Linked DNA regions of Macaca fascicularis. The protein of the gene in region 3 interacts with the protein of the main gene of each other region in a pairwise test. Links are inferred from orthologs where the notes say so. Each region holds a gene or a part of one and is shown on either strand. Other genes may lie near its edges.

Evidence for each region.
Region 1: the proteins of MOAP1 (region 3) and LATS1 interact in a two-hybrid assay, tested with the Homo sapiens proteins (2 studies listed by BioGRID and IntAct). The two-hybrid records come from large-scale screens. The link is inferred for Macaca fascicularis from reciprocal best matches to the Homo sapiens genes MOAP1 and LATS1.
Region 2: the proteins of MOAP1 (region 3) and THOC1 interact in binary tests that used the Homo sapiens proteins (3 or more experiments, as listed by UniProt). The two-hybrid records come from large-scale screens. The link is inferred for Macaca fascicularis from reciprocal best matches to the Homo sapiens genes MOAP1 and THOC1.

Annotation. Positions count from the first base shown.
Region 1 is NC_088378.1:57,649,487-57,655,564, forward strand, and holds part of LATS1 (serine/threonine-protein kinase LATS1), read right to left. Parts: intron 2,063-6,078; coding exon 1,553-2,062; 3' UTR 1-1,552. UniProt on the Homo sapiens protein: Negative regulator of YAP1 in the Hippo signaling pathway that plays a pivotal role in organ size control and tumor suppression by restricting proliferation and promoting apoptosis.
Region 2 is NC_088392.1:68,908,603-68,914,750, forward strand, and holds part of THOC1 (THO complex subunit 1), read right to left. Parts: exon of another isoform or gene 6,020-6,148; intron 5,729-6,019; exon of another isoform or gene 4,013-5,728; intron 3,416-4,012; coding exon 3,315-3,415; intron 1,916-3,314; coding exon 1,849-1,915; intron 1,652-1,848; coding exon 1,601-1,651; intron 1,509-1,600; coding exon 1,438-1,508; intron 694-1,437; coding exon 598-693; intron 3-597; coding exon 1-2. UniProt on the Homo sapiens protein: Component of the THO subcomplex of the TREX complex which is thought to couple mRNA transcription, processing and nuclear export, and which specifically associates with spliced mRNA and not with unspliced pre-mRNA.
Region 3 is NC_088381.1:161,180,159-161,187,049, forward strand, and holds MOAP1 (modulator of apoptosis 1), read right to left. Parts: upstream 3,771-6,891; intron 3,575-3,770; coding exon of another isoform or gene 3,552-3,574; 5' UTR 3,455-3,551; coding exon 2,399-3,454; 3' UTR 1,423-2,398; downstream 1-1,422. Other genes in the region: LYSET (lysosomal enzyme trafficking factor), read left to right, coding at 4,609-4,706, 5,456-5,867.

The DNA.
Region 1 (6,078 bases), on a different chromosome or scaffold from region 3:
TGTGTTGATTTTTTTTTTTTTCCTGGGAAGAGTCCACAGCTTCCTTCAGATTCTCAAAAGAACCACTAACCCTGAAAGACCCATGATAACATAGTAGTAGGTTTCCAAGCTGAGTTCTGAAAGGACCACCTGTAGAAAGGTAGGAAGTGTGGGCTAGTAAGTGTTCCTTGCCCTGACTCTCCAATTCAACTGCAACAGCTCTGCCTTTAATTTTACTACATATATGGTTTCAATTAGCTTTTATGTGAAGAAAGCTAAAAGTATGAAAATCATTAAAATTATGCCTCCAATCCCCAAATAGTAACTTTTGATAAAAACAATCCCTTATCAATGTAGCTTAAGAAAAGGAAATAAAATACAAATTTTACTATGGTCAAAATAGAGCCTTTTTCCCCTTCCTAAAAGATAAGCTCATGTATTTTGGTATAGAACCTTAATCTTCCTTAGAACCTAAGCATTATACATAATAGTCATGTTGAACACATTATTTAACCTTAAATAAATTAGGAGGACTTGATTTTCTACTAAGACCACTCTGTAAATTTTTCTAATTATTAATGGCCATCTTAAGAGTTAATTTTTTCACCAATTAATCTGCCCTTAGGTAAAATATTGCCAGATAGCCAGATTTTCCTTTGCCAATAACAATCTGTATATGCAGCACTGTTCTGAAAGAGGAAACAGGTAACATTGATAATATAATCAAAATAGTTACTATACAGGAAAAGTATATGAACATGAAAATAATTCTTTGCTTAGGATGGTGAAAAAAATTTTAGCTTTCAGTACTGAAAATTTTTATTTATGGCAGCTTTGTTCCCTTTTAAAATTGGAAGCAGCATCAAAAATAACAATATGGAAAAAAAGCTAGTAGTGCTTTGGCTTCTTTTAAAGCCAGTAATTCTTGAGAAATAAATGCAAGAAGATTAAATATTCCATGGGGCCGGGAAGATAAATGCATTATCTTTCCTTCTGACAAACATATTAATATTTTTTAACCCTGTATTCCTTAGTTTCAGGATGTGAATTATACAGATTAAGATTAGCCTAGGAACACTCACCAACACGATGGCTTAATTTCTCTAGCTTATTTTGTACCAAAAACAAGGTTATGAGGGGAAAAAAGAGCTCTGTAAATACGGGGTATGTTTCATATTTGGTTAAAGCAAGATAAAACTAAAACTGTCTTTCAAAAAAATTTCAAAAACTCTTGTCTTTTAAAATTATTTAGCATATATACAAATAGATACCAGATTTCTCCTTTTAAACAAAGCACTACTTATTTTAAGTACTTTAAGTACCAAGAACTGACTGTAATATTCAGTTCATAATTTACTTTTCTTATAACAATTTTTTTCTAAATACTGATTTAAACGGCTGGAATAAATTAACATTTTAAAAGGATTTCCCATAATTTAGGAAAATACAATATTGTACACAGAGCACACATATATAGCTCTGTCATATTTGCATAATTTTACTCTCAGAACCTCAAAACACCTCGCATTTCAGGCCCTTTTGCAAATTCTCATTACATTTATTTACTAGTGTGTTAAACATATACTAGATCGCGATTTTTAATCTCTGAGCCTGTGTTTTGATCATCTTCATCCGACTGCTGCTCTGAGCCTTGTGAATTAATGTATTCATATTCAATAGGCTTTGGATAATTATATGGGTAGCCATTGTCATCAAAAAACCTTCGGAAGGTAAATTCATAGAATGCATGTTCAGGATGCTTCCCATTTTTATACCATCCATTGAGAGTGTCATTTACATTTTCTTCCTCGTTATCGTCACTCCATAACTTATCAGGATCAACAGGATCAAAATTTGATGTATCTGTTGGGTGTGTGATTTTAGGAATGTATGAAGCAGATTGCTGTCTCAGGTCACTGGAGAAATCAATTGTTTTAAAAAATGGATGAGCTTTTATTTCATCAGCACCATTCTTGCCTAAGCGATCTTCGGGTCCTCGGCAAAGTTTAATAATAAGATCAGAAGCTTCAGGACTTAGTTTAGCTTGTGGTGGAATGTGAAGAGATGTTTGCCAGTTGATAACCTTTAAAGATTTTTTAAAATTAGGGGGAAGAGATAAATTAGAAAAATAAAAATTTCCTTCAAGTTTTATACCAAAAGTCTCACTGGGCTATTTTTGTATTTTAAATAAATTACATGATATTTTGCTGGAAAATAATTTGTTCTCCTATCCCATCCTCTCCAGGCAACTTCTACTCACATTATAAGACTCAGTGTCAGTTTTAATCTCCCCTAGTAAACCTTTTTGCCTATGGTAGAAATGACTACTTCTACTCTGCCTCCCCTCTACCATATATTTATTTCTATCACATTTCTAATACCTTATGGTACCTATTTATGTTTATGTCCTACTGAAATATAAAATTCCATTAAGGCTAGGGATTATGTTTTAGTGGTCTTTGTATCTCCTAGTGCTCAGTAAATGCCTGGCACATACTTAATACATTATGATAAAACTTTTTCTGGTGCCAAGCGTGGTGGCTTGTCTGTAATCCCAGCACCCTGGGAGGCAGAGGTGGGAGGACTGCTTGAAGCTGGGAAGGTTCAAGACAAACCTGGGCAACAAAGCGAGACCCCCTCTTTACCAAAAAAAATTTAAAACTTAGCCAGGTATGGTGGCATGCATCTGTAGTCCTAGCTACTCAGGAGGTTGAAGCAGAAGGATTCCTGGAGCCCAGGAGTTTGAGGCTGCAATGAGCCATGACTGCACCACTGCACTCCAGCCTGTGTGACACAGTGAGACACTGTCTCCAAAAAAAAAAAAAAAAAAAGCTCTGGTTATGAATAAAATAAAATGAGGAAGAAAGGAATGCCAAGTGAAGTCAGACTACCTAGTCTCTCCCGCTGAACTCTTGGAGGCAGGGGAATTGGTATACAACTCCAAGTACGATATTAAATGGATTTGGGGCAAACTCTATTAAGTGGTAGAATTGTCATTTAACCAAGTTAAGATACCTTCAACTTGGGCAGGCACTGTGGCTCACACCTGTAATCCCAGCACTTTGGGAGGCCAAGGTGGGTGAATTGCTTGAGCCCAGAAGTTCAAGACCAGCCTGGGCAACACGGCGAAAGCCTATCTCTACAAAAAATACAAAAGTTAGCCAGGTTGGTGGTGTACATCTGTGGTCCCAGCTACTTGAGAGGCTGAGGTGGGAGGATCAGCTGAGCCCAGGGAGGCTGAGGCCGCAGTGAGCCGTGATTGTGCCACTGCACTCCAGCCTGGGTGACAGAGCAAGACCCTGTCTCAAAAGAGGAAAAAAAAAATCTTCAACTTGTTCCATGGTAGGTAGTCAATAAATATTTGTTAAAAAGTTTTAATAATAATGAATAAATGAACACTATAATCTTACTTATTCATAGAGGAGCTAGTCAGCTACTACAGAGGGAAGAAAATATACTCCCTCTTCTATTATTTGTTCCTTTTAAAGTCTTACCCCAGATTAGAAAATTGAGATACTTCAACTAATAATATAATATTTTTAAAACCTTTTTGGAAAAAAAAAAGATACAGTTAATAATAGTTATTTATGCTTCCAGTTCCATCACTTATTTCAAACAGGATAAATAAAAAAAAAAATACAATGAGATGAACAATTCCTTTTTTTTTTAAACAGAGGCTCGCTCTGTTGCCCAGGATGGAGTACAGTGGCGTGATCTCGGCTCACTGCAACCTCTGCCTCCTGGGTTCAAGTGGTTCTCCTGCCTCAGTCTCCTGAGTAGCTGGGATTACAGGTGCCTGCCACCTCACACGGCTAATTTTTTTTTTTTTTTTTTGAGACGGAGTCTCGCTCTGTTGCCCAGGCTAGAGTGCAGTGGTGCGATCTCAGCTCACTGCAAGCTCTGCCTCCCGGGTTCACGCCATTCTCCTGCCTCAGCCTCCTGAGTAGCTGGGACTACAGGCGCCCGCCACCACGCCCGGCTAATTTTTTGTATTTTTTTTAGTAGAGACGGGTCTCACCGTGTTAGCCAGGATGGTCTCGATCTCCCGACCTCGTGATCCGCCCGCCTCGGCCTCCCAAAGTGCTGGGATTACAGGCATGAGCCACCGCGCCCGGCATTTTTTTGTATTTTTAGTAGAGACAGGGTTTCACCATGCTGGCCAGGCTGGTTTCGAACTCCTGACCGCAAGTGATCCATCCACCTTGGCCTCCCAAAGTGCTAGAATTACAGGCGTGAGCCACTGTGCCTGGCCAAGTTTAACATTTTTTATTTTAATGTGTATTTAGGATTTTTTAGTTTAAGGCAAAAAAAAAAAAAAAAAGACTAAGCACAGCAAAAGATTCAGATAATTCAAAGATGGATGAATAAAATTATATAAACTGAAGCACAGAGAGAAAACATGTAGAATAAAAGAAAGAATAAAGCGTAAGAGAAATGGAGGACAATATCAAAGGAATAGCATATGTATAATCATTAGAGTCTCAAAAGGTGAGAAGGAAGCAAAATAAATCTTTGAAGAGATGACAGAGAATTTCCCCAAATCGATGAAAGTCATTAATGTACATTTCAAGAAACTGAGTGAATCTCAACCAAGGAAAATACAAAGAAAACTACACATAGGCACACCATGGTCAAATTGAAGAAAACTAAAGTTAAAGAGAAAAAAATCCTAAAAGCAACCAGAGAGGTCCCAGTTTTGAGGAGGTACTACGTATACTCTCCCGTCTCTCTCCCACAGAAGGCAGCTACAAAACCTGATCAGGATACATGCAGCAGCTACTTCAAGACCCTGAAAAGTAAATAATAACAGGTAGATTTGGGGAGAAGATGTAAATTTGAAGTACCATTAAACCTGGTGACCATTTAAAAAAAATAAGAGACAGGATTCTCACTATGTTGTCCACGCTGGTCTTGAACTCCTAGCCTCAAGCAATCCTCCCACCTCAGCCTCCCGAGTAACTGGGACTACAGGCCTGTGCCAGCACACCCAGCTCCATTTTTTTCACTCTAGTAGTCTGCAGGCTGGACTCAAGGTAGCCCCAAACTTGGAAGGAGCTGAGCACAGACAGAGAGCTAGAGCAGAAGTCCCTCTAGTTCAGGCTCAGGGAGTAGAAAAGGAGTTTCCTGGTAGCAATGGAGGTGACAATAAGAGCCAATATGCCCCTAAAACTGACAGATGAACCCTCCTCTCCAATTGGAAATAAAATAACAAAGCATGGGCTGGGCTCGGTGGTTCACGCCTGTAATCCCAACATTTTGGGAGGCCGAGGTGGGTAGATCACTTGAGATCAGGAGTGCAAGATCAGCTTGGCCAAAACGGTGAAGCCCTGTCTCTACTAAAATACAAAAATTAGTGGGCCGGGCGTGGTGGCTCAAGCCTGCAATCCCAGCACTTTGGGAGGCCGAGACAGGCGGATCACGAGGTCAGGAGATTGAAATCATCCTGGCTAACATGGTGAAATCCCGTCTCTATTAAAAATACAAAAAACTGGCCGGGCGCGGTGGCTCAAGCCTGTAATCCCAGCACTTTGGGAGGCCGAGACGGGCGGATCACGAGGTCAGGAGATCGAGACCATCCTGGCTGACACTGTGAAACCCCGTCTCTACTAAAAACTACAAAAAACTAGCCGGGCGAGGTGGCAGGCGCCTGTAGTCCCAGCTACTCGGGAGGCTGAGGCAGGAGAATGGCGTGAACCTGGGAGGCGGAGCTTGCAGTGAGCTGAGATCCGGCCACTGCACTCCAGCCTGGGTGGCAGAGCGAGACTCCGTCTCAAAAAAAAAAAAAAAAAAAAAAAAAAAAACTAGCCGGGGGAGGTGGTGGGTGCCTGTAGTCCCAGCTACTCAGGAGGCTGCGGCAGGAGAATGGCGTAAACCCAGGAGGCGGAGCTTGCAGTGAGCTGAGATCGCGCCACTGCACTCCAGGCTGGGTGACAGAGCGAGACTCTGTCTCAAAAAAAAAAAAACATTAGTGGGGTGTGGTGGTGCATACCTGTAATCCCAGCTACTCAGGAGGCTGAGTTAGGAGAATCACTTGAACCCAGGAAGCAGAGGTTGCAGTGAGCCAAGATTGTGCCACTGCACTCCAGCCTGGGCGACAGA
Region 2 (6,148 bases), on a different chromosome or scaffold from region 3:
CACTACAAAACAGACACAGAAATAAATACGTTTTTTATGGACACCATCCTTATGTGCTTTGAAACTGAACAGAAAAACAATACAATGTACATAGTGGATTTGGGGATGTTGATAGCATGAGTTTTACTTTTCTCAATAATTTTTGGTATTTAAAATACCTAAAATTATTCTCTATATGAACATATAATCATTAATTATAATTATGACTAATGATAATTGAATAATCTTTAGTTTTTTCTAAAAATATTCAAGCACAATCTAAAGCAATGATTAGTTAAGTAGAAGGTAAGAGAACTCAAGGATTATGGTACCTTGCAACAACTAGAAGTGAGCTTCATCAATCTAAACAATCCTACTGTCTGAAACGGAAAAAACGGCACAGCCAAGAGACACAGATTTTGGAAGCTGGAGACAAAATGAAGGTTTTATCTGCTGCATGAACCTACATAATGGGCAGTATAGAGAGTGCGGTTTGCTCTGGCTATCTATGTGTGTACCAAACACAAATTCATATTATATTTTGGATGGAGAGTTCTTATAGTAACATCTTCAAAATATAAAAATAAGAACATTCCACATGAAGACAAGTTCACCTACTTTCCCATCAGAATTTTTTTGCTGGGTCCTTTCCCTAGGAAGTCCTCGGGTGCTGTTCTCTTCCGAATTATTCTCGTAGGTTTGGTATCTGATGTTCTGTGGTGAAAAAAAACATACACTATTTTTTGAATTACACATAGATAGCAGAAATAGAAGAATGTTTAATGTAAAATAAAATTTAGTTATTGTTTTCCTCTTAAGAAAGATGAAAACTGGCTGGGCATGGTGGTTCATGCCTGTAATCCCAGCACTTTGATGGGCTGAGGTAGGTGGATCACCTGACATCAGAAGTTCGAGACCAGCCTGGCCAACATGGTGAAACCCTGTCTCTACAAAAATACAAAAATTAGCCAGACATGGTGGTAGGTGCCTGCAATCCCAGCAACTCGGGAGGCTGACACATGAGAATCGCTTGAACCCAAGAGGCGGAGGCTACAGTGAGCTGAGATCGCGCCACTGGAGCTGAGATCGCGCCACTGCATTCCAGCCTGAGTGATAGAGACTTCATCTCAAAAAAAAAAAAAAAAAAAGATGAAAACTTCATATTATGATAGAACAATTATCAAATATAAGACAAAAATGCCACATTGCAGGGCAAATCACATGGAGTAGATATACAGTATTCTTCTCAATAATATAGATGTTTGTTCCAGGAATTTAATGACAAGAAATTTATGAGGTAAAAAAAATACAGAGGTAAATCAAAGTGGTTGTACTCTTACAGAGTTCGACTTACATTTTTTATATGAAATATATACATGTATCTTTACATGCTATAGTCGTATCAGAGCATATTTTCAAAAGCTTTTCTCATCGTTCTTGTGATGAGTATGTATTTACCTTTCTTTCACAAAACTTGGGCAACCTTCATTTTTCCATGAGTTCCAGTTTTCTTCAGTGTTTAATATATGCTGGGAAAAACAGAGATTACATTTTGGTTAATGGAATCCTCTGAAATTCTGTTTCGTGCTAAGAAGAGGATGTAAACATAAAAAACACATACCTCTACCATCTTTGAAAATCTTTCTCCATCGGGGGGGTTTTCAGATAGTAGCTGTGATTAGAAAGAATATACTAAGCTTTCAACAACTTTCTGCATCATAGGAGTGGTTTGTAGGCAGAGAACCAAGGAGTGTTTGTGGTCTTGTACCTGAGCTTAACTTTATCCTTATTTTCCTATTTGGGGCTGAAACAAAGAAAATCCTAAATTTCCATTTTTTCAATCATGGGTTTGTTGCGTGTTGAACTTACTTGATAAACTGATTTTGTAGTATCTTCAATCCAAAGTGATTGTTCATCAGTTAAAACATAGTTTGAACTAGGGAACAAAGCAATGAAAGCATGCTTGAGTTACAGCAATGCATATCCAATTTTAAGCTTTAAAAAACACAAGGCATGTAACATGTAACTATACTGTGGATAGTGTCAAAAATTACCAAGATAAGAATAGTCACAAATGAAAGGATTATAAGAGAAAATTCTTGCACTTCTTCCTCAAGAGGGTTGGTACTAAAGACATAAAAACATATGCAGGTAATAAAACATTCAATTAATCAATCGGATTCACTATGAACAGAGCAATAAATGTTTCCTAAAATAAGCTGAGTGTGAAATGAAAACCTCTGATTTGATATTAAGATACTTGTATACATGATGCACATTCAGTATGGCATGCTACATTCCTTTAAGGTTCATTCAAAACACAACGAATAAAAACACCCAAACCCTAGAAAAGGCAACAGGCAAACCCAAATTGTTAATAGCCACCACTAACTGAACTCTCACAATGCACTAGGTGATTTAAAGACATCCAATAAATATTGATGGCTAGGATCTGAACACTTTACATACATTATTTACTGAATTCTTGGAACAAGTACATGTACATATTAAACACAGACTACAGTGGCTCAATGATTTGCCCAAGGCCATAAAGCTTTAATTCAAACCTACGTCTCACTCCAAAGTCCCTGATCTTCCTACAATGCTATACCAAACCTCAAAAATAGATAGAAGGATAAGAAATTACATTTTTTTAGTGTTTACCATGTGCTACTATCTTAAAATGACAAGTCTGAAAGAGCTGCACTGCAGCCAGCAAATGATGAGCCTGGGATTCAAACCCAGCAGGTAGTAAAGTCATTATACAACTAATACTGCATTGCTCAGTGTCCTTAACACAAATATCGTTAAGTAGCAGTGGGCTCCACCTTCAGTTATGGACAGGACAGGAGGAAATGGATGGAGGGATTTAGATAGACAGTAGAGAGCCTAATAAGGTTTTGTGAAACCCCAAAGAAATGAACTCCTTTTTGCTTAAATATTTTATTTGCATCTTTTAGCTTGAATGTCCTACACAGCTCCACACCTTGTGAGAGATGTATTACTGGCTTAGTCTACAAATCCGCTTTGGAGGAGGTCTGAGGGAGGTGAGAAGGGAATGATGGAAGTTTGGAGCAGAGACCTCCACCTGCCAATAAAGACGACAACTCCTGCTAAGCCCTGGAATTGGGGCAGGAAAAACTCACACTGACAGATATATTTAACATCTTTTCCTTAATCCTAATATCTAAAAGCCTTCAATATATCAGCTGCAATACATGTGTTTTAGGGATAGAACCTTAACATGAAATGGACACAATACAAAAGAAAAATCATAAGCAAGTCCTTTTTTTTCTTGGCTGTTTACAAATTATTTACTACCCATATTATCTTACCTTTTGAATTTGACCTGCCCCTTGAGATATTGGAATAAAATGAGATACTGCAACAGGATGTGTCGACGAAAGTTACTGTCACTCAGTTGTAAATCCATCAGCTACTCAAGAAACAAGCAAACACATATGAAAACAACACATTAAAATCAAGTTTTGCCTAAAGGTACAAAATGTGCTACTATAGAAATGGAAGATTCCAATTCAATTTAAAAAACATTTGTTGAGAATTCATTGCACATGAGGCATTACCGCACAAGCCCAAAGACGGTCCAGTCAAGGTTTCACTTAGACTTCTTGACTGTTTTATGCCATGACAGATTCATGTTGGTGGATAACAATGCTCTATCTGTGGTCCTGACATGAGGATAAAATAAGGCAGAAATATAAAAAAGTAAACTGGGCATGGTGGCACAAGCGTATAGTCCCAGCTACTCAGGAAGCTGAGAAGGAGGATCACTTGAACCCAGGAGTTCGAGATCAGCCTGAGCAACATAGCAAGACTCTAAATTTAAAAAAAAAAAAAAAGTAAAAAGTAAAATTGAGGCTACTACTTTCCCACATATGAAGAAATACTGGCTAAAGAAGATATGGATAACAGCACAATATCAACGGGTACCACTCATTTTTGCAGCCCTGTAAGTGCCTGCAACAGAGGTATTAAGAAATTAGAGGTGAAAATCATCTCTGATTAGATGGGCTTTGTTTTTTTTTAGCTTTTAGTGAAAACTGCATCATACTTGTATTATCACAGAATCTAGATTAGAAAGGACTTGAAGGTGATTTATGAGGAAGTTCTTCAACGACCCTGCCATCCAGCTGTAAGAATAACTTGCGGGTGACGAAGGAAAGTCATTCTGATTATGTGCATGGAGCACTGAAGGAAAGGTGAAGTCTGTAACCACAAACTCACGCTAGTACTGCTTTCAAAAACTACAGTAACAAAGGAAAGCCACGTTCTCCTAAATGAATCACCAGTAAGGCAGCTGGAAGCATCAGAAATTGGTTTTGGTTCAATGTCCCAAGTTCTGGTGGCTCTGCTTTACATGGTTTGGTACCATTTACTAAGGCCACCTAACACACACAAGCCTCCTTATTCACTAGCAACCCCTTCCACACCGCGGCTCCAGGTCTTAAAAAAAAAAAAAATTAATGATCAGCCTTCCCGTCAGGTTTCCCACACTTTTAAGGACTGAATATATTTGATTGTTATTTATATTAACTCTCCTATCCCAAACTGGAAATGTGAATGGCTGGCCATCAGCCTTCCCTTCCTCCAGCCCCTGGGCAACTTGACTGTCTCCACTCAGGCTGTTAGTTCCTTGCCATCAACTCCACGGACAGGCCCACCTCTGCTCCAGCTACCCACTACTGTGGCCACAGCTAGACCTGGGGTTACAGCTTCCCCAGATCTGAAGTCTTTAACTCACAATCCTATCTCACCACCTCTATCCTTCCCAGGTCTCTCACTCAGGTGCTTCCAATATACCTAATATTTGGATCTTACTGAGACTTTAAGGCCCTTTCTATTCTCTACCTGTTAGTCCAATCCTATTTTAGTCTAGATAAGGGGTCAGCAAACCTTTTCCTGAAGTGTGAAATAGTAAATATTTTTATTAATAGGTTATGTGGGCTAAGAGGCATAGTATGGATATTATGTAGGTATTTAAACATCTAAAATATAAGAGATAAAAAAAAAACCAAAACCACCAAAAACAACCAACACGGGTGGTGGGCCAGATTTGGCCTGTAGGCTATAATCTGCCAACTCCTGGTCTAGACTTCATGGCTAATCTCTTTGTCTGTTTTCTTGCCAACTTCCTCAACACACTTGTCCCATATTTCTTCTGTCACATCTAGTGAGCACACAGCAACCTTGAATAAACCAACTGTCACCTTCTCTATACCAACTCTCAGGCTTCCAATCTCGGCTGAAAGTGAGGTGCCTGAGTGAATATACCAAATTACACAGCTATGCAGAAGGCACCACTGGTATGTGGTCTCCACCTTAAACATCTGTTTTTAGTCAGCAATCTCTCTTTATTCTTCAAGGTCATTCTCTCTCCTATTCTTCACAGTAATGATTTCAAACCCTTTTCACTTAGCAAAAATACTACTTTACCACTCCTCTTCACTTTCAGTAGATAACTACTTTTGCCTTCAATGAGGAGAAAAATTCATTAAATTGGAAAGCATTTCATTTCTTGGCCCCAAAATGACAAGTCAGCTGCACCCACACCTTTGTTTACCTCATTTCCTTCTGTCACAACTCTCTCATGACTAAAGGTATTCCATCTGGATTACCTTCCATCTGGAATCCCAATATCCCTAATAACTGAATTCCATCAACTAACTGCCCTGGTTTCTGTATCTACAACCTCTTCTTTCCAAGCTCCTTTCCATAAGCATTACATAACCTCCCTCAGGCCGGGCGCGGTGGCTCAAGCCTGTAATCCCAGCACTTTGGGAGGCCGAGGCGGGCGGATCACAAGGTCAGGAGATCGAGACCACAGTGAAACCCCGTCTCTACTAAAAATACAAAAAATTAGCTGGGCGCGGTGGCGGGCGCCTGTAGTCCCAGCTACTCAGGAGGCTGAGGCAGGAGAATGGTGGGAACCCGGGAGGCGGAGCTTGCAGTGAGCCGAGATCGCGCCACTGCACTCCAGCCTGGGCAACAGCGTGAGACTCCGTCTCAAAAAAAAAAAAACCTCCCTCAAAGATCTCCCACATTCTCACCTCCCCCTTTAATAGCAAAGCTTCTTTAACTGACTACAGGCACTGTTGCCAATCAGCCCCTCAACCTGCTATCATCTGACAGCCTCATCCACTAATCCATT
Region 3 (6,891 bases):
TTTTTTCTTTAGCTTACTTTAATATAGTATATAATACAAATAACATACAAAATATGTTAATCAACTTTCTGTTATTGGTAAGGCTTCCAGTCAGTAATAATAGTTACGTTTTTGAGGAATCAAAACTTATGTACAGATTGTGCAGTGGGCTGGCTCCCTGAAGCCCCAAGTTATTCAAGGGTCAACTGTACTCCCCTGCAATGCACATAAGATGGACATTTATGAAATGGAGCCAATGCCTGCCCTGCTTCCCTTGTGAGGCTAATGGGTATAGATACCCTGATGATTGCTTCTCTTTCTTGGCAGTAGAAAGAATATGGGCCTTGCAGAAAGAAAGAGGAGAGAATTCTGACCTAATCACTCACTACACTTACTACAGAGGATCAGAGGATAGAATTCTGGCCCAAGGATGTTTCACCTTGACTGAATTTCTTTTTTTTTTTCTTTTTTTTTGAGACGGAGTCTCGCTTTGCCCAGGCTGGAGTGCAGTGGCATGATCTTGGCTCACTGCAACTTCCGCCTCCCAGGTCCAAGAGATTCTCCTGCCTCAGCCTCCCGAGTAGCTGGGACTACAGGCGCCCACCACCACGCCTGGCTAATTTTTTTGTATTTTTAGTAGAGACGGGGTTTCACCGTGTTAGCCAGGATGGTCTCGATCTCCTGACCTCGTGATCTGCCCGCCTCAGCCTCCCAAAGTGCTGGGATTACAGGTGTGAGCCACCACACCAAATTTCTAAACTTTTGTGCCCATTTCCACAAGTGTGAAACTGAGTTTTCCTATATTGCAGGATTTTTTTTTTTTTTTTTTTTTTTTTTAAGACAGGGTCTTGCTCTGTCACCCGGGTTGGAGTGCAGTGGTATGATCATGGCATGCTGCAGCCTTGACCTCCTGGCCTCAAGCAGTCCTCCAGCTTCAGCCTCCTGAGTAGCAGGGACTGCAGGTGCACACCACCATGCCCGGCTAGTTTAAAAAATTTTTTTTTACATTACCCAGGCTGGTCTCCAACTCCTGGGTTCAAGCAATCTTCCTGCCTCAGCCTCTCAAAGTGCTAAGATTATACTGCTCAACCTTTTTCCAAGAGGACTAAATAAGAGAGTAAACGGAGAAACTTTTAGTCCAATCTTCCAAGCAGCAGCATGCAATGTTCATTTCTTTCCTTCTCCCTCCAAATTTGACACACTGATACATCTGCACTACTTGCACTAATTTGTGCACTGTCTTGTTTCACCCCATTGTTTTACTGCTTCAGTGGAAGCTCTCTTCACTTAGAAAACAGTTTCCTACCCCTGAGCACCAAGAAGAAAGAGTCCAAGGAACTAAGTCTGTGTAGGTCCAGTGGTTTGCAGATTCATGCTTTGGGAACTCTTTATTCAAATGAAATCTCTCCTGGAACCTTGATATAAACAAAACAGACAACGTCATTTTATTACCATTCCTTTATTTTAGAAGCTCACATCTATAATTTTATAACAATCGTGAAAATGTTACTCAGAACTAGATGTTTTGATGACACATAGCAGAAATCTGTAAAGATGGTCATTGAAACTTAACCAATCTCAGCATTCTATTCTGCCTTTTGTTTTGATTGCACAGAATCAATATAATTTTGATTCATACAGAAAATAACTTAGTATCTTAACCTCCACTCAGGATCTTCATCATAAATGTAGGTCAATACATACCTAAAAACTGTCAATGATCCAACATGATCACATGTGACATGCTACACTTGTGCCTCGTACCAAACAAGCTGATATTTCAATGAGATCTGGTCAGCATATACACCCGAGCCTTGTCTGTCCTCTCAGAGCACTGCACACAGGTAGTGAAAGAACTTTTGTACAATAAGAAATTCACAGGGATGAGGCCGGGCGCAGTGGCTCACACCTGTAATCCCAGCACTTTCAGAGGCTGACGCAGGTGGATCACTTGAGGTCAGGAGTTCGAAATTAGCCTGGCCAACATGGTGAAACCCTGTCTCTACTGAAAATGCAAAACTTAGCTGGGCGTGGTGGCACGAGTAGTCCCAGCTACTCGGGAGACTGAGGCAGGAGAATAGCTTAAACCCGGGAGGTGGAGGGTGCAGTGAGCCAAGATCGCGCCACTGCACTCCAGCCTGGGTGAGCACGAGACTCTGTCCCTACAACAACAACAAAGATATTCACAAGGATGAATTTAAATAGGTAAACAGCAGTGTAGAACTACATCCTTCCTAGTCAATTACACCTTTAGGAGACTTTAAATAGGCATAGAAACGACAAAGGGCTTATACTGAGAATTGCACAAAAATGAGTTACTTGGCAGCACAAGGTAGGGATTGTATGTGTCAAAGAGTATATAGACTGTTCTACCTTCATGCTCTACTCATTGCCATATCCCTTCGTGATTCCCTGAGACTCAGGTGAAATGCCCTTCTAATACTTCCTGGAGAAGGGCCTCCTCCTCCTCAGCTGCCTCGTAATCCTTTATTAGTACCAGTAACTGCAAGAAACCAGGGGCTGGGCCATCCTCTGGCAGATTAAGCTCTCTGCGAATTGTTTTGTGGACTGCGCCAGCAATGACTTGGTCTAGGCGGGCCTGATTCACAGCATCTCTCTCAATTGCTCCTCTCTGTACCAGCTTCTGTAACAAAGGCTCCAGCCTAAGTACATAAGCCGACAACTTTTCCTCATCCTTCTGATAAGTGGTTAGATATTTGACCTGCAACTCTCTAGGATTATCTGTAACCCCAAATACCTCCTCAAGAGCCTGCAGGCATTCATCGACAGTAATTAAAGGATTGTTTATCTTGAGGACACGAATAACATCAAGTGCTGGGCCTCGAAGGCTCTCTAGCAATCGCCTTCTCTTCTCTACATCTGGCACCTGCCACGCCTTTATCATCTGAGTAGTATGAAACATCCAGCGTCCAAATTCTTCTTCTCCTGGTTCTGGAGGCTCCCTGCCGGAGAACACTCTCAGCTTTTTATACTTCAAGCATTGCAGGGCAGGCTGAAGAGCCTCTAATGCCTGTGCCAACATAGGGGCCCACATTTCTGGGATCATGCCCTGCTCTAGGTCTAAGGAGCCATTTTCATGTGCAAGAGCTCTGGTCAACTCACCCACTGTCATGCCCTCTCCCGCTAAAAATTCATTTAATCTGCTTAAAAATGTATTATCAGAGTCAGGGGGCTTAAAGATCACTCTCCAGATACCCCCTTTTCCCGGTATCTCCTTAGGGACCAGTGCGTGACTAGTCTCCGCAGTAAGCCCTACTAAGGCTACTTTCCTGTTCTCATCCCTCCTGAACATCCTTCCAAGCAGTCTGTACTCCCCCAAGGGAGCTAAACCAGCCTGCAGAGCCTCCTCGATTTCTGCCACACTGCAGCTCTGGGAGATGCCGGCAATCAACAGCGCTTTCCGAGGGTTCATGTCCATCCCCCTGCACCAGTCTTCCAAAAGCCTCAAAGTCATGGTGCCCGAAATAATACACTTAAGTTCTAAATATTCCAGACCACAGGCGGCCACTGCAATTCAAAGTAATCCTCCGCGGTACCTCAGGGAAATCTCGTCAACGTGCCGAGGTCCAGCAGCCTGCAAAACACAGCAGACAGGTTAGCTAAGGGTGCCAACGTCCAAGGCACGCGTGCAGGCCCCAAGCCCCGCGCGCCCTGCCCCCCGCGGCGACTCCAGGGCCGCCGCACTGCGGCGCGCGCCCCTCACCCCTCCCAGCCCTGGTGCCTGGCGGATGTCGGGCCTGCAGGGCCTCTCCGGGCCAGCTTCCACTCACCGTAATCTAGTGCTCGGTGCCTGCGTCCGTGCGCCGGCGGCGGAGGTGCCTGGCCGGGCCCCGACGAGGTGCGGGAGGGCGGGCGGGCTCCCCTAGGCTCGGACGGACACTCAGGGGCCAAAGCGACTGATGCCGGTCCTCCAGGTGCTTGTGATGCTCTCCGCAGCAAGAAGTGATCGGGCGATGACAGTCGCGATCGGGCACCGGGAGGAAAGGCTGAGGAGCGCTGAGTCGCCAGACCCAGACAGCCGCCCACCTGAAGGGACGTGCCGCCACCCGCGCAGCTAGATACCCAGCTCCAGCGCGGATTCCAGCTGTTTGGGTCTAGCTGGGGGAAGCTGCGCGGCGGGCGGGGGCGATCTGACGTCATGAGGGGGGGCGGGCCTCTGGGGGGCGGGGCGCGCGCGCTTCCGGCCCGAGCCGGAAGCCCCGACTGCGGCGGCATCCGGGACGGCGGGCGGGCTGGCCACCCGGGACAGGAAGGTGAGATCCGGGACCTTAGCTTTGCAGGCAGGCTCTGCCGGCGGCCGCTGACTGGCGCTGGGCTCGCGACGCTGCAGGGCTGCGAGGCCCGGGCCTGGCGCAGTCAGCACAACCCTGGTCGCGGCGTGCCGGCGCTGCAGCGCGGCAGGGGGCGGGGCCGGCCGCCTGGAGGCCCTTGTGGCGGGGACGCCTCCCGGCCGGGTCAGGTCCCCATAGCGGGTCTCCGGCGGCGGCGACGGGGGCCGGGCCGCGCGTGACCCGCCGCAGTCACGCCGTTCTTAATCACTAGTAGCTGGTGCCCCAGGCTGGCGGCGCTCACCTTTCTCCTAGCCGGGTGACCCAGGGGATTTATTTTATGGTGGCTTTCTCTGAAATGCCAAAGCCACCCGATTATTCAGAGCTGAATGACTCTTTAACGCTTGCCGTGGGAACAGGAAGATTTTCGGGACCATTGTAAGTGCTTAGGAGTTACTGTCTTAACTTGGGGGCTTGACTTGTAGCACCCCGCGTTCACATCTGAAGCAGTACTGTAAAGCCGAAAGTGTTTCACCTATCAAAGTGAAAAGTGCTGTGGGAAACTAGTTTAATTCCAGTTTCTGGAGGGCGGGTATTATGGACTTGTTTAAGTAGGATGCAGTGATTTATTCTGAGATTCCCGTTAAAAAGCAGAACTCAGTATATACTGAAATCAATGGTTATTTTGTTTTTGTTTGTTTTTTTATTGTAACTATTACACAAAACCTGTAAGTTTTACATTTCTTAACAGGCGTTTAATTATTTTAAATCTTAAGTGTGTTAGTGGGATGCTTTCGAATTTAATTTTATTTTTTTGAGACGGAGTCTCGCTCTGTCGTCCAGGCTGGAGTGCAGTGGCGCGATCTCGGCTCACTGCAAGCTCTGCCTCCCGGGTTCACGCCATTCTCCTGCCTCAGCCTCCCGAGTAGCTGGGACTACAGGCGCCCGCCACCACGCCCAGCTAATTTTTTGTATTTTTAGTAGAGACGGGTTTCACCATGTTAGCCAGGATGGTCTCAATCTCCTGACCTCGTGATTCGCCCGCCTCGGCCTCCCAAAGTGCTGGGATTACAGGCGTGAGCCACCGCGCCCGACCTAGAATTCTTGGAGATAAAGCAAGTACATTTGGAGTAGTTGCGGTGACAGTACTACAAGACCCTAATTGTATTTTCTTTTTTAATTTGAAGGCACAGAGCATGGAGAATGATGAATTTCCGTCAGCGGATGGGATGGATTGGAGTGGGATTGTATCTGTTAGCAAGTGCAGCAGCATTTTACTATGTTTTTGAAATCAATGAGACTTACAATAGGCTGGCCTTGGAACACATTCAACAGCACCCTGAGGAGCCCCTTGAAGGAACCACATGGACACACTCCTTGAAAGCTCGATTACTCTCCTTGCCTTTTTGGTTGTGGACAATTATTTTTCTGGTACCTTACTTACAGATGTTTTTGTTCCTATACTCTTGTACAAGAGCTGATCCCAAAACAGTGGGCTACTGTATCATCCCTATATGCTTGGCAGTTATTTGCAATCGCCACCAGGCATTTGTCAAGGCTTCTAATCAGATCAGCAGACTACAACTGATTGACACATAAAATCAGTCACCGTTTTTTCCCTACGATTACAAAACTGCCAGTCCTATATGGAGTCTGATCACAAGACTGCAGTTTCTTCACAGATCTCAGGAAGTTGTGGTGGGGCAGAGGCTTTTTAAAAACATGTGATCAGGGGGCTATCTTTATCTGAATAATAATGAATTTTTAGGTAAAACCTGAGATAGAGTACTACAAAATCATGTTGATGACTTCAGATTTTGGAAGTTAAATCGTGTCTGTTATTTGCATTCTTTAGAAACTTGACTGAGTACCTGAATTCATATTTCTATTCTACTGTGCAACATAGTGATGATTCAGAAATTTTTCCTTTGGGGAAAAAAAATGAATATGAACATTTCCATTGTGTTAAGTGTAAAAAGGTCCAGACATGATCATAAAATTTAAATTTTATACAATTACTTGGCTTGCTTTAAATTCTTCACACTTAAAACACCGATTCATTCTATTGCAGCTAAGCCAGCTGTTTATACTTGCTGTCAGCTTATGAGGCATTGCTAAAAAAAGTATTAAGGTAATGGCTGTCTTGATAAGCAGAATTTGTTCTTCCTCTTGGTAATGGCTAGCTAAATTATTATTAGTGCTTTTAATGGTTTTATTTTTTATATTTTTCTTTTTTGTGGAGAATGAGGTCTCGCCACGTTGCCCAGGCAGGTCTCGAACTCCTGGGCTCAAGCTTTCCTCCCCTCTAGCACTCCCTAAGTGCTAGGATTACTGGCGTGGCTCCCATGCCCAGCTATTTTTAATTAAAAAAAATTTTTTTTCCATGGCTTGTGACACAGTCTCAGGAGGCCCTGAGAACATGTGCCCCATTGCTACTAGTTTAGAAAACTATTTGGGAAGAGACTAAATGGTAAATGTTGAAAGGCTAGAAATAACTTACAAATAGAAGATGGAAACAATGTGTTCAATGAAAATAAGCAGGTTATTAATTAATTAATTAAAATTATTATTTTTTTTGAGACGGAGCCTTGCTCTGTCACCCAGGATGGAGTGCAGTGGTGCA